Callithrix jacchus: one gene and its partner. The protein of the gene in region 1 purifies or fractionates together with the protein of each later gene. This does not show direct contact. Links are inferred from orthologs where the notes say so. Each region holds a gene or a part of one and is shown on either strand. Other genes may lie near its edges.

Region 1 (4,303 bases):
TACAGATTGGGGAGGCCAAGATGTAACATAGGGGAAGTCAAATATAAATAGTAAATGGTAGAAATGAAATTCAAACTTAGTGCATAAGAATGCTCTGCCATCCTACTATACCACAGCTTCCCTTTTCCAGCCCCTGCCCACAGTCCTGCAACTTCATGATTAGTTAGGGGTCTCTCCTCTAGCTGCCATAATGAAGGGATTGTGTAGCACATTATAAATCTTTATTGTTTGATTCATCTTTTCTCAAATGAGTCTGTGAGTAAAGCGATTTGAAGACAAAGTCTATTTCATTTACAATAGTCTCTCATTATCCAGAGTTATCCAATGTCTGAAAATGGAAAATTCCAGAAATAATTCTTAAGGTTGTTTGTTTTTTTGTTTTGAGACAGAGTCTCACTCTGTTGCCCAGGCTGGAGTGCAACGGTGCAATCCTGGCTAACTGCAACCTCCATCTCCTGGGTTCAAGTGATTCTCTCTGCCTCAGCCTCTTGAGAAGCTAGGATTACAGGTGCCCAACACCAGGACTGGCTAATTTTCGTATTTTTAGTGGAGACGGGTTTTCCAAGTTGGCCAGGATGGTCTTGAACTCCTGACCTCAGGTGATCCACCTACCCTGGCCTCCCAAAGTGCTGGGATTACAGGCCTGAGCCATGGCACCTGGCCAACAATTCATAAGTTTTAACTTTCATGCTGTTAGGAAAATAGCGTGATGAAATCTCGAGCCATCCCGCTCAGGATGTGAATCATCCCTTTGCCCAGACTATCCATGCTATATATGCTACCTGCCCTTTAGTCAACTTCTCCTGCTCAATATCGTCATGGCTCAATGATGTGAGATCACCTAAAGCAGATGATTCTCCTTCTGACTTATCATCAGTAGTGGCCTAAGGCTACATCACAATGCTGTCATTCACCTCATCATCTCATCATCTCATCATCTCATCATCTCATCTCATCTCATCTCATCTCATCTCATCTCATCTCATCTCATCTCATCTCATCAGGAAGGCACTTTCTCATCTCACATCATCACAAGACGGGTGAGTACAGTACAATAAAATATTCTGAAAGAGAGAGACCATATTCATGTAATCTTTATTATAGTATATTGTTAGAACTGTTCTATTTTATTAACTACTGCACCTATTATATAAATTAGACTTTATCATAGGTATGTGAAAAAACATAGGGTTCAATATTACCCCAGGTTTCAGGCATCTACTGGGGTGCTGGAACATGTCCCCCTTGGATAAGGGGGAACTACTGTATCTGTATTGCTGTACCCAGCAGAGTGCCTGACACATGGTATCCTTAAAAAGTATCACAGGGGGCTGGGCAAGGTGACTCACATCTGCAGTCCCAACACTTTGGGAGACCAAGGCAGGTGGATCACCTGAGGCCAGGAGTTCAAGAGCATCCCAAGCAACAAAGTGGAACTCCCCCCATCTCTACCAAAAAAAATTTTTTTTAATTAGCCACTCAAAATGTTTTATGCCTATAGTCCCAGCTACTCAGGAAGCTGAGTCAGGAGGATGGCTTCATCACCCAGGGATTTCAAGGCTGCAGAGAACTATCATCACGCCACTGCACTCAGCCTGGGCAACCTGCCTTTAATCCCAGCAACTCGGGAGGCTAAGGCAGGAGAATTGCTTGAATCAGGGAGGTGGAGGCTGCATTGAACCGAGATCACCCAACTGTACTCCGCCCTGGACGACAGAGCAAGACTCTGTCTCAAAAAATAAAAATCTTTATGCTGATACCTCTGTCTGTATTAACTGTTCAACAAAACCTGATGAAGAGCCGGGCGCGGTGGCTCACGCCTATAACCCCAGCACTTTGGGAGGCCAAAGCAGGCGAATGACAAGGTCAGGAGTTCGAGACCAGCCTGGACAATAAGGTGCAACCCCGTCTCTACTAAAAATACAAAACTAGCCGGACGCGATGGCCCCTGCCTCGGGAGGCTGAGGCAGAAGAATCGCTTGAACCCGGGAGGCGGAGTTTGCAGTAAGCCGAGATCGTGCCACTGCACTCCAGCCTGGGCAACAGAGCAACACTCTGTCTCAAAAAAAATAGCTGTTTTTTCATTTTCACTGGGCAGATTTCCTCCAACTCCTATTTTTCCACTTGGCAAAACACGGTTCTCAAGACACAAGGGCTTTGTGATTAACTTATTAAACGTTTCCCGAAGCTAGGCACTGGGGAAAATGCAAACTGGGATTAGAAAGGGGTTTCTAGTCTCTAAAGAAATTCGATCTAGTACCGAACTCTCGAATCCATATAGTATGGAACACTAGGCTGTTCGAGTATGTGAGTCACGTGGCTCTGCAGCGTGACGGCGATTGTCAAAGTGAGTTCAGGATCACGTAACAGACTACACAACCAGCCCGTTAACTAATCCTATGGGGAGTTACTTTAGAGCTGTCTTGCCCAGACATAACCTGTTTGGAGGTGCTGAGGAGATATGGAGAAAGCAGCGAACCATCTCTCCTCAGACCTGTGCATCTTCCCAGACCCTGCAGGTCAGGGCTTTCCCCTCCCCCAGGCTCACCCAACACCCCAGGGAGGCGTGGCTCTCACCTGCCCAACCGTCTACCTCTCCCAAGGGGCTCGACTAGCTTCTCCGGGGACCCTTCCCTCTCTGGGTGCAACGCACATGTAGTACTGGAGTAAAGGCCTACACAAGCCACAGGCTCCCCCTTCTCGCAAATACTCCAGACCCAGATGGGGACCCTCCATCTCGCTCTCCACTCCTCACCTGTTCTGCGGACACCGCCCCCTTCCCCGCGCCGCTAACGCTGCTCTTGCTGGAGCGACCGCTGTTCTCCGCCATCTTCGTCGCCTGCTGGGTTTCCGGCCGGCGCAGCTCAGCACCCCCCCCACCTTGCGTCACGTCCGGCCTGCGAGTTACCGCCCACTCGCCCCGGCGCCTCTGGCTCCAGGCCGCCCTCCGGATCGGCTCGAATCCTGCGAATGTTTTTGGCAGTATTTTCATGTAGGACCTACTCCCTATCCCGTCGGCCGCAGGGAATCCCACTTGCGGTGCTTTAACCTGTGCGACAGAGATGCTGCCCCTGGGAGAGGCGGGGAGGGACGGGCCAACTGGAGCGGGGGGTGGAGAGCGGGGCGCGGCGTGGGGCCTGGGTTCCTTTGCCCCTTGCCCACCTTGGAGGGGTGGGAGTCGAGTTAGGGTGAACTTCCTCCTGAGAGATTCTGGTGAAAGGGGAAATACGCTTTGAGTCAGTAAATCTGTGCAAGTGCACAGTCAAGAAGAGAGTCTTGGGAAAACCAAGGGTAGTTCCCGGAGATGACTTTGGACTGCGGAAACGTTTGTCAGAGGAAAAGGGCTTCAGTTTAATGTGAGATCATTGAAAATTGATCTGTTCAGGAGGCGAGCAGAGCCCCTTCCTCCATCTTTCCACCGTCCCTTAGCCCATAAGTACTTACAGAAGTAAAAAATGTTTTGAAGACCAGAAGGTTTTTGCTGGCAGGGCCCTGATTCGGGCTCACAGTATAAAGAGAAGTCAGAGAATCCAAGAAATTTATTGCTCAAGGAAGGGATTGGTGCCCTCATTTCTCACCTTCTTCAGGCTGGGCTTCCTCACCAGGCCTCTTCACCGACTCCTGTCCTTTCTGTGTCCTGGACTCCGGATACCTCGACTCTCTGTACTTTGTGCTCAGCCCAGGTAACACGTTTTGTTGTGTCCTCAGTGCCTGGCACTTAGATGCTCAGTTTGTTAAATGGATAATGGGAGACACAGGACTGTCAATTATCCACATTTGATTAGTAAGCCCTACTAGCCCTGGGCCTGTAAGAGCAGGATCAAAAGGAAGTCCAGCTTTCCTCCCTTGCACCCTTTAGCATTAATTTTGTTTCCTCATGCACTGAAATCTGAGAATCCTGTCTATGCTGTTCACAGGCCCAGAGCCATGGCTATCTCCTCTTCCTCCTGCAAACTGCCCCTCGTGGCTGTGTGCCAGGTAACATCAACGCCAGACAAGCAACAGAACTTTAAAACATGTGCTGAGCTGGTTCGAGAGGCTGCCAGACTGGGTGCTTGCCTGGCTTTCCTGCCTGAAGCATTTGACTTCATTGCACGGGACCCTGCAGAGACGCTACACCTGTCTGAACCACTGGGTGGGAAACTTTTGGAAGAATACACCCAGCTTGCCAGGTATCAGGGAATGGGGGAGGGAGAGGTAAAATCTTTGTTGGGCAGTGCCCCTAGATTGCCAAATATGAGGGTACAGCCTTGAGAAGTCAGTGTCCCCTCCCCCCAGGGAATGTGGACTCTGGCTGTCCTTG
Region 2 (4,107 bases), on another chromosome or scaffold:
TTTAGGGTTACTGCCATTTGATGTTAACCGGCTATTTTATCCATTCGTTGATGTAAATTCTTCTTTATGTTGATGCTCTTTACTTTTTGGTATATTTTTAGAAAGGCTAATACTGGTTGTTTCTTTCTATGTATAAGGCTTTCCATTGCATAATTCTTATGCTTATGGTGGAATTTGTGTGAGTGGATGAAGCACTGCTTCACTGGGAAACACTCCAGTGGAAGAAAGGACAGAAAAGGGCCTGAAGAGTAATTACTTGGTTCTATACGACAGATATGCTTTTACAGGATTGTAGCATAGGATGACATTGGGTAAGTCCATGGGCCTAGAAGCCTGGGTGGAGTTCTTAGGATTTTGTATGTGGACTATGAGGTTCTGGAAACGTTTCAGCTGGAGAGAAGACATTCTGATCAAAGGTGGCTTTCGGGAAAGGTTGGTGCGACAGGCAGGGTATTTATTAGAATGAGGCCCGTGACTCCAGTCTGAAACAGACACAAAGTAAGTTCCCTTCAATGGCCGGGCGCGGTGGCTCAAGCCTGTAATCCCAGCATTTTGGGAGGCCGAGGCAGGTGGATCACCTGAGGTCAGGAGTTCGAGATCAGCCTGGCCAATATAGTGAAAATCCATCTCTACCAAAAATACAAAAAAATAGCTGGGCGCCGTGGCGCGTGCCTGTAATCCCAGCTACTCGGGTGGCTGAGGCAGGAGAATTGCCTGAACCCAGGAGGCGGAGGTTGCGGTGAGCCGAGATCGCGCCATTGCACTCCAGCCTGGGTAACGAGAGCGAAAATACGTTTCAAAAAAAAGAGGCAGGAAGCTCCTTGGGATGGTGAGACCAGAAAGGCACAGAGGCTGAACGCTTGTGATGGCGATAGGTCTGAGGTTCGCTCGCATCCGAGAGCGAATTCGGTCGCTCCAGAGGCCATTGTCAAGGCTGCTGCGAGTTCTAGGGTCGGGGTGGGGTCAGGCTAGGTCCCCATTCCTAGGGCTTTAGCACAGCTCACTCACAAGACTCCTTTTCCCAAGAGGACGTAAGGGTTTTTCCTGCCGCTCCAGCTTGTCTTCTGCGGCCCTTCCACGCTTGTCACTTACCTGAGCGCAGCCAATCAGCACCTATTTCGACCAAAGGAGAACCGGAACTTGGTGGGGGGACCTTTCCTGCGCACCAATGAATGTGTACGGAGAGGCGGGCCTGTAGGTGCGAACGAGCCAATCACGAAATCCTGGTGGGCGGTGGCTCGGAAGGCAGTCGAGCACTCGCATCCCCAAGATGGCGGCCGCGAAAGACGGTAGCGGCAAAGGAGAAATGGCAACAGGGAATGGGCGGCGGCTCCACCTGGGGATTCCCGAGGCCGTGTTTGTGGTAAGAAGCACGCTGTTCCCTGGCATCTTGGTTCGAGACTGCGGACTGCCCCTTTGTTTCCGGCTCACACCTAGGCCTCTACTGTTGGAAGGAGCTGAGCTAAAGGTTCAGGGACCGGGTGCTCGGCCCGCTCTCACTCTTCTTTGCACATGGAAAGATTGAGCTCTGCTGCGGCCCGCCCGGAAGACACGTAGCTCGAGAAGGTCCTAGAAGAGAACGGGGTGCGGGGCCTGGGCGAGGGTGAGGGGCGGCGGGGCGGCCTTAGGGACCTGCCGGCTGCGGCTGGTTTTCGAGCCCCCCTGCTGCTTGGAAAAGGGGAAATGGTGAGGAGCTCTCGACTCCGCCTAGTTGCTGGAGAGACAGTACAATGAATAGGCAGAACAGCTAGTGCCAAGATGTGAAAACAGGGAGGGCCGGGCGCGGTGGCTCACGCCTGTAATCCCATTACTTTGGGAGGCCGAGGCGGGTGGATCACAAGGTCAAGAGATCGAGACCATCCTGGTCAACGAGGTGAAACCCCGTGTCTACTGGAAATACAAAAAATTAGCTGGGCACGGTGGCGCGCGCCTTTAATCCCAGCTACTCGGGAGGCTGAGGCAGGAGAATTGCCTGAACCCAGGAGGCGGAGGTTGCGGTGAGCCGAGATGATTGCGCCATTGCACTCCAGCCTGGGTAACGAGAACAAAACTCCGTCTCAAAAAAAAAAAAAAAAAAAAAAAAGAAAAAGGGAATATCACCGTGTCTGTTGAAGGAATGCCGTGGTCTGTTGCCTTGGGGGAAGTAGAAGAAGTAGGATGATGGGGTGAGAGTGTAAACCCCTTCTATGGCTTCGTAAGGAATGAGGTTTTTTTTTTGTTTTTTTTTTTGAGACGGAATTTCGCTCTCGTCACCCAGGCTGGAGTGCAATGGCGCGATCTCGGCTCACCGCAACCTCCGCCTCCTGGGTTCAGGCAATTCTCCTGCCTCAGCCTCCGGAGTAGCTGGGATTACAGGCGCGTGCCACCGTGCCCAGCTCATTTTTTGTATTTTTAGTAGAGACGGGGTTTCACCTCATTGACCAGGATGGTCTCGATCTCTTGACCTTGTGGTCCACCCGCCTCGGCCTCCCAAAGTGCTGGCAATGCACTGCCATTGCCTACTGTAAAAGGCCTTTGGTTTCAGGTGCATCATTCTAACAACTTAGTGGAGAATGAATTGTTGAGAGAAGAGGCCGAACCCTCGTGTTGGCGCTGGGTCCCAGATTCACTGGCATCCGAGAGGGGATCGGGTCGCTCCAGAGGTTGTTCTGGAGGGCGCTCCCTGTTCTGAGTGCCTTTTTAAAAATTTTATTTTATTTAGAAATAGTATTTGAAGACTATTTGAGTAATGAGAGAAAATGTCTGACTGGCCCTCCAGGCCAGCTCATCTGTCTGTCCCCATTTAGTTTCTGAAAGTTTCTGAACCTTTTGATTTATACCTTTCCTTACCTCTGCCTTTTTACTGATCATGTCTTATGTCCTTCAAAACTCTAATTTATTTACACCACACTTGATATTGTCTATTTGCATTTGCTGATTACATTTTGTAATTGTTTATTATTTTGTGTTTTCATGAGCTGTGCCATTTATTTCTTTACATTAATCTATTATCTAATCATAACAAGGAATAAAATTTGTTGAGTGCTGGGCACTTTCTTAATGATTTTACTAAACTCTAGGTATTAGCTACTGTTAGGTCTGTTTTTAGATGTTAAAACCGAGGTACACGGCCCTTGAGTAACTTGCCCCAGGCCACACAGGATGTAAATGAGGTATCCAGGATTTGAACTTCGGCAATCTGTGGGGGTCCACACCGCCAGCTTACCCCTCATGCTCTGCTGCTGTGAGGAGGTGAGGTAGTTCTCATGCATTATGTCATTTCTCCTGGCCCTAGAATAGTGCCTGACACATAGTATAAACTCCTATGTGTCTAATTGAATTTCCGTACTGACTTAAATGTTACATTCGTAGTGCTAAGCTAGAGAAATCTGTCTCCACAGTATACACTTTATCTGAGGGCTTTATAACATCTTAAAATGCTTTTTCCCTACAATGTCATGGCTATTTTTTTGTAGACCTTAAAATTTCTATTGACATAATGTAATAAGCAACCCAATTTTATATAATTGTTTTTGTTCCCAAACTGTTAATAATTGAAGTGACATGGTATTGTTGAAAGATCATTGGCTTCTAAATCGACCAGGATTTGAATCCTGGCTCTGCGTCCCAGTTGCTGCTTAGCCTTAAGCATATTATTTTACCACTTTGAGCCTGAGTTTCTTTAACCTAAATAGGGATGACAATACTTAGACAGTTGTTATGGGAAACAGAGAACAACATGCTTGAGTATTGCAGTGTAGTAGATGTTGAATAGGTATGATTGCCCATGATGCTAGGAGTCAATATACCATAGTTGTTAGAAGTCAGACCTGGTTCTTTCCCCAACCCCCCTGAGGCAGTAATTTGTTTTCTTTCTCTGCTTGAATTGTTCTTTCACCGTTGTCCGTTTCATGACCTCTTCATCTTTCCACTTGTAGTTCAGATATCAACTCCCTGTAGTTTTTTCTGACCTCTACCCCAAAACGAAATCCCTAGCACTTTGTGTCCCAATGGCACTTTATGCTATAGATAGGTGTCACATACTCTTAGAAGCATCTCCTATATGCTCACTCATTTAATCCCGGGTGATGAAAAGTACTTGTACAGATGATGAGGAAATTGAGGCAA

The links.
Region 2: the proteins of PFDN2 (region 1) and VBP1 fractionate together in Homo sapiens (co-fractionation; 8 studies listed by BioGRID and IntAct, counting the BioPlex papers as one, with this or other methods). This does not show direct contact. The link is inferred for Callithrix jacchus from reciprocal best matches to the Homo sapiens genes PFDN2 and VBP1.

Annotation. Positions count from the first base shown.
Region 1 is NC_133519.1:20,975,941-20,980,243, forward strand, and holds the start of PFDN2 (prefoldin subunit 2), read right to left. Parts: upstream 2,857-4,303; 5' UTR 2,831-2,856; coding exon 2,756-2,830; intron 1-2,755. Other genes in the region: NIT1 (deaminated glutathione amidase), read left to right, coding at 2,991-2,992, 3,588-3,683, 3,918-4,172, 4,279-4,303. UniProt on the Homo sapiens protein: Binds specifically to cytosolic chaperonin (c-CPN) and transfers target proteins to it. Binds to nascent polypeptide chain and promotes folding in an environment in which there are many competing pathways for nonnative proteins.
Region 2 is NC_133524.1:150,956,334-150,960,440, forward strand, and holds the start of VBP1 (prefoldin subunit 3), read left to right. Parts: upstream 1-1,247; 5' UTR 1,248-1,270; coding exon 1,271-1,363; intron 1,364-4,107. UniProt on the Homo sapiens protein: Binds specifically to cytosolic chaperonin (c-CPN) and transfers target proteins to it. Binds to nascent polypeptide chain and promotes folding in an environment in which there are many competing pathways for nonnative proteins.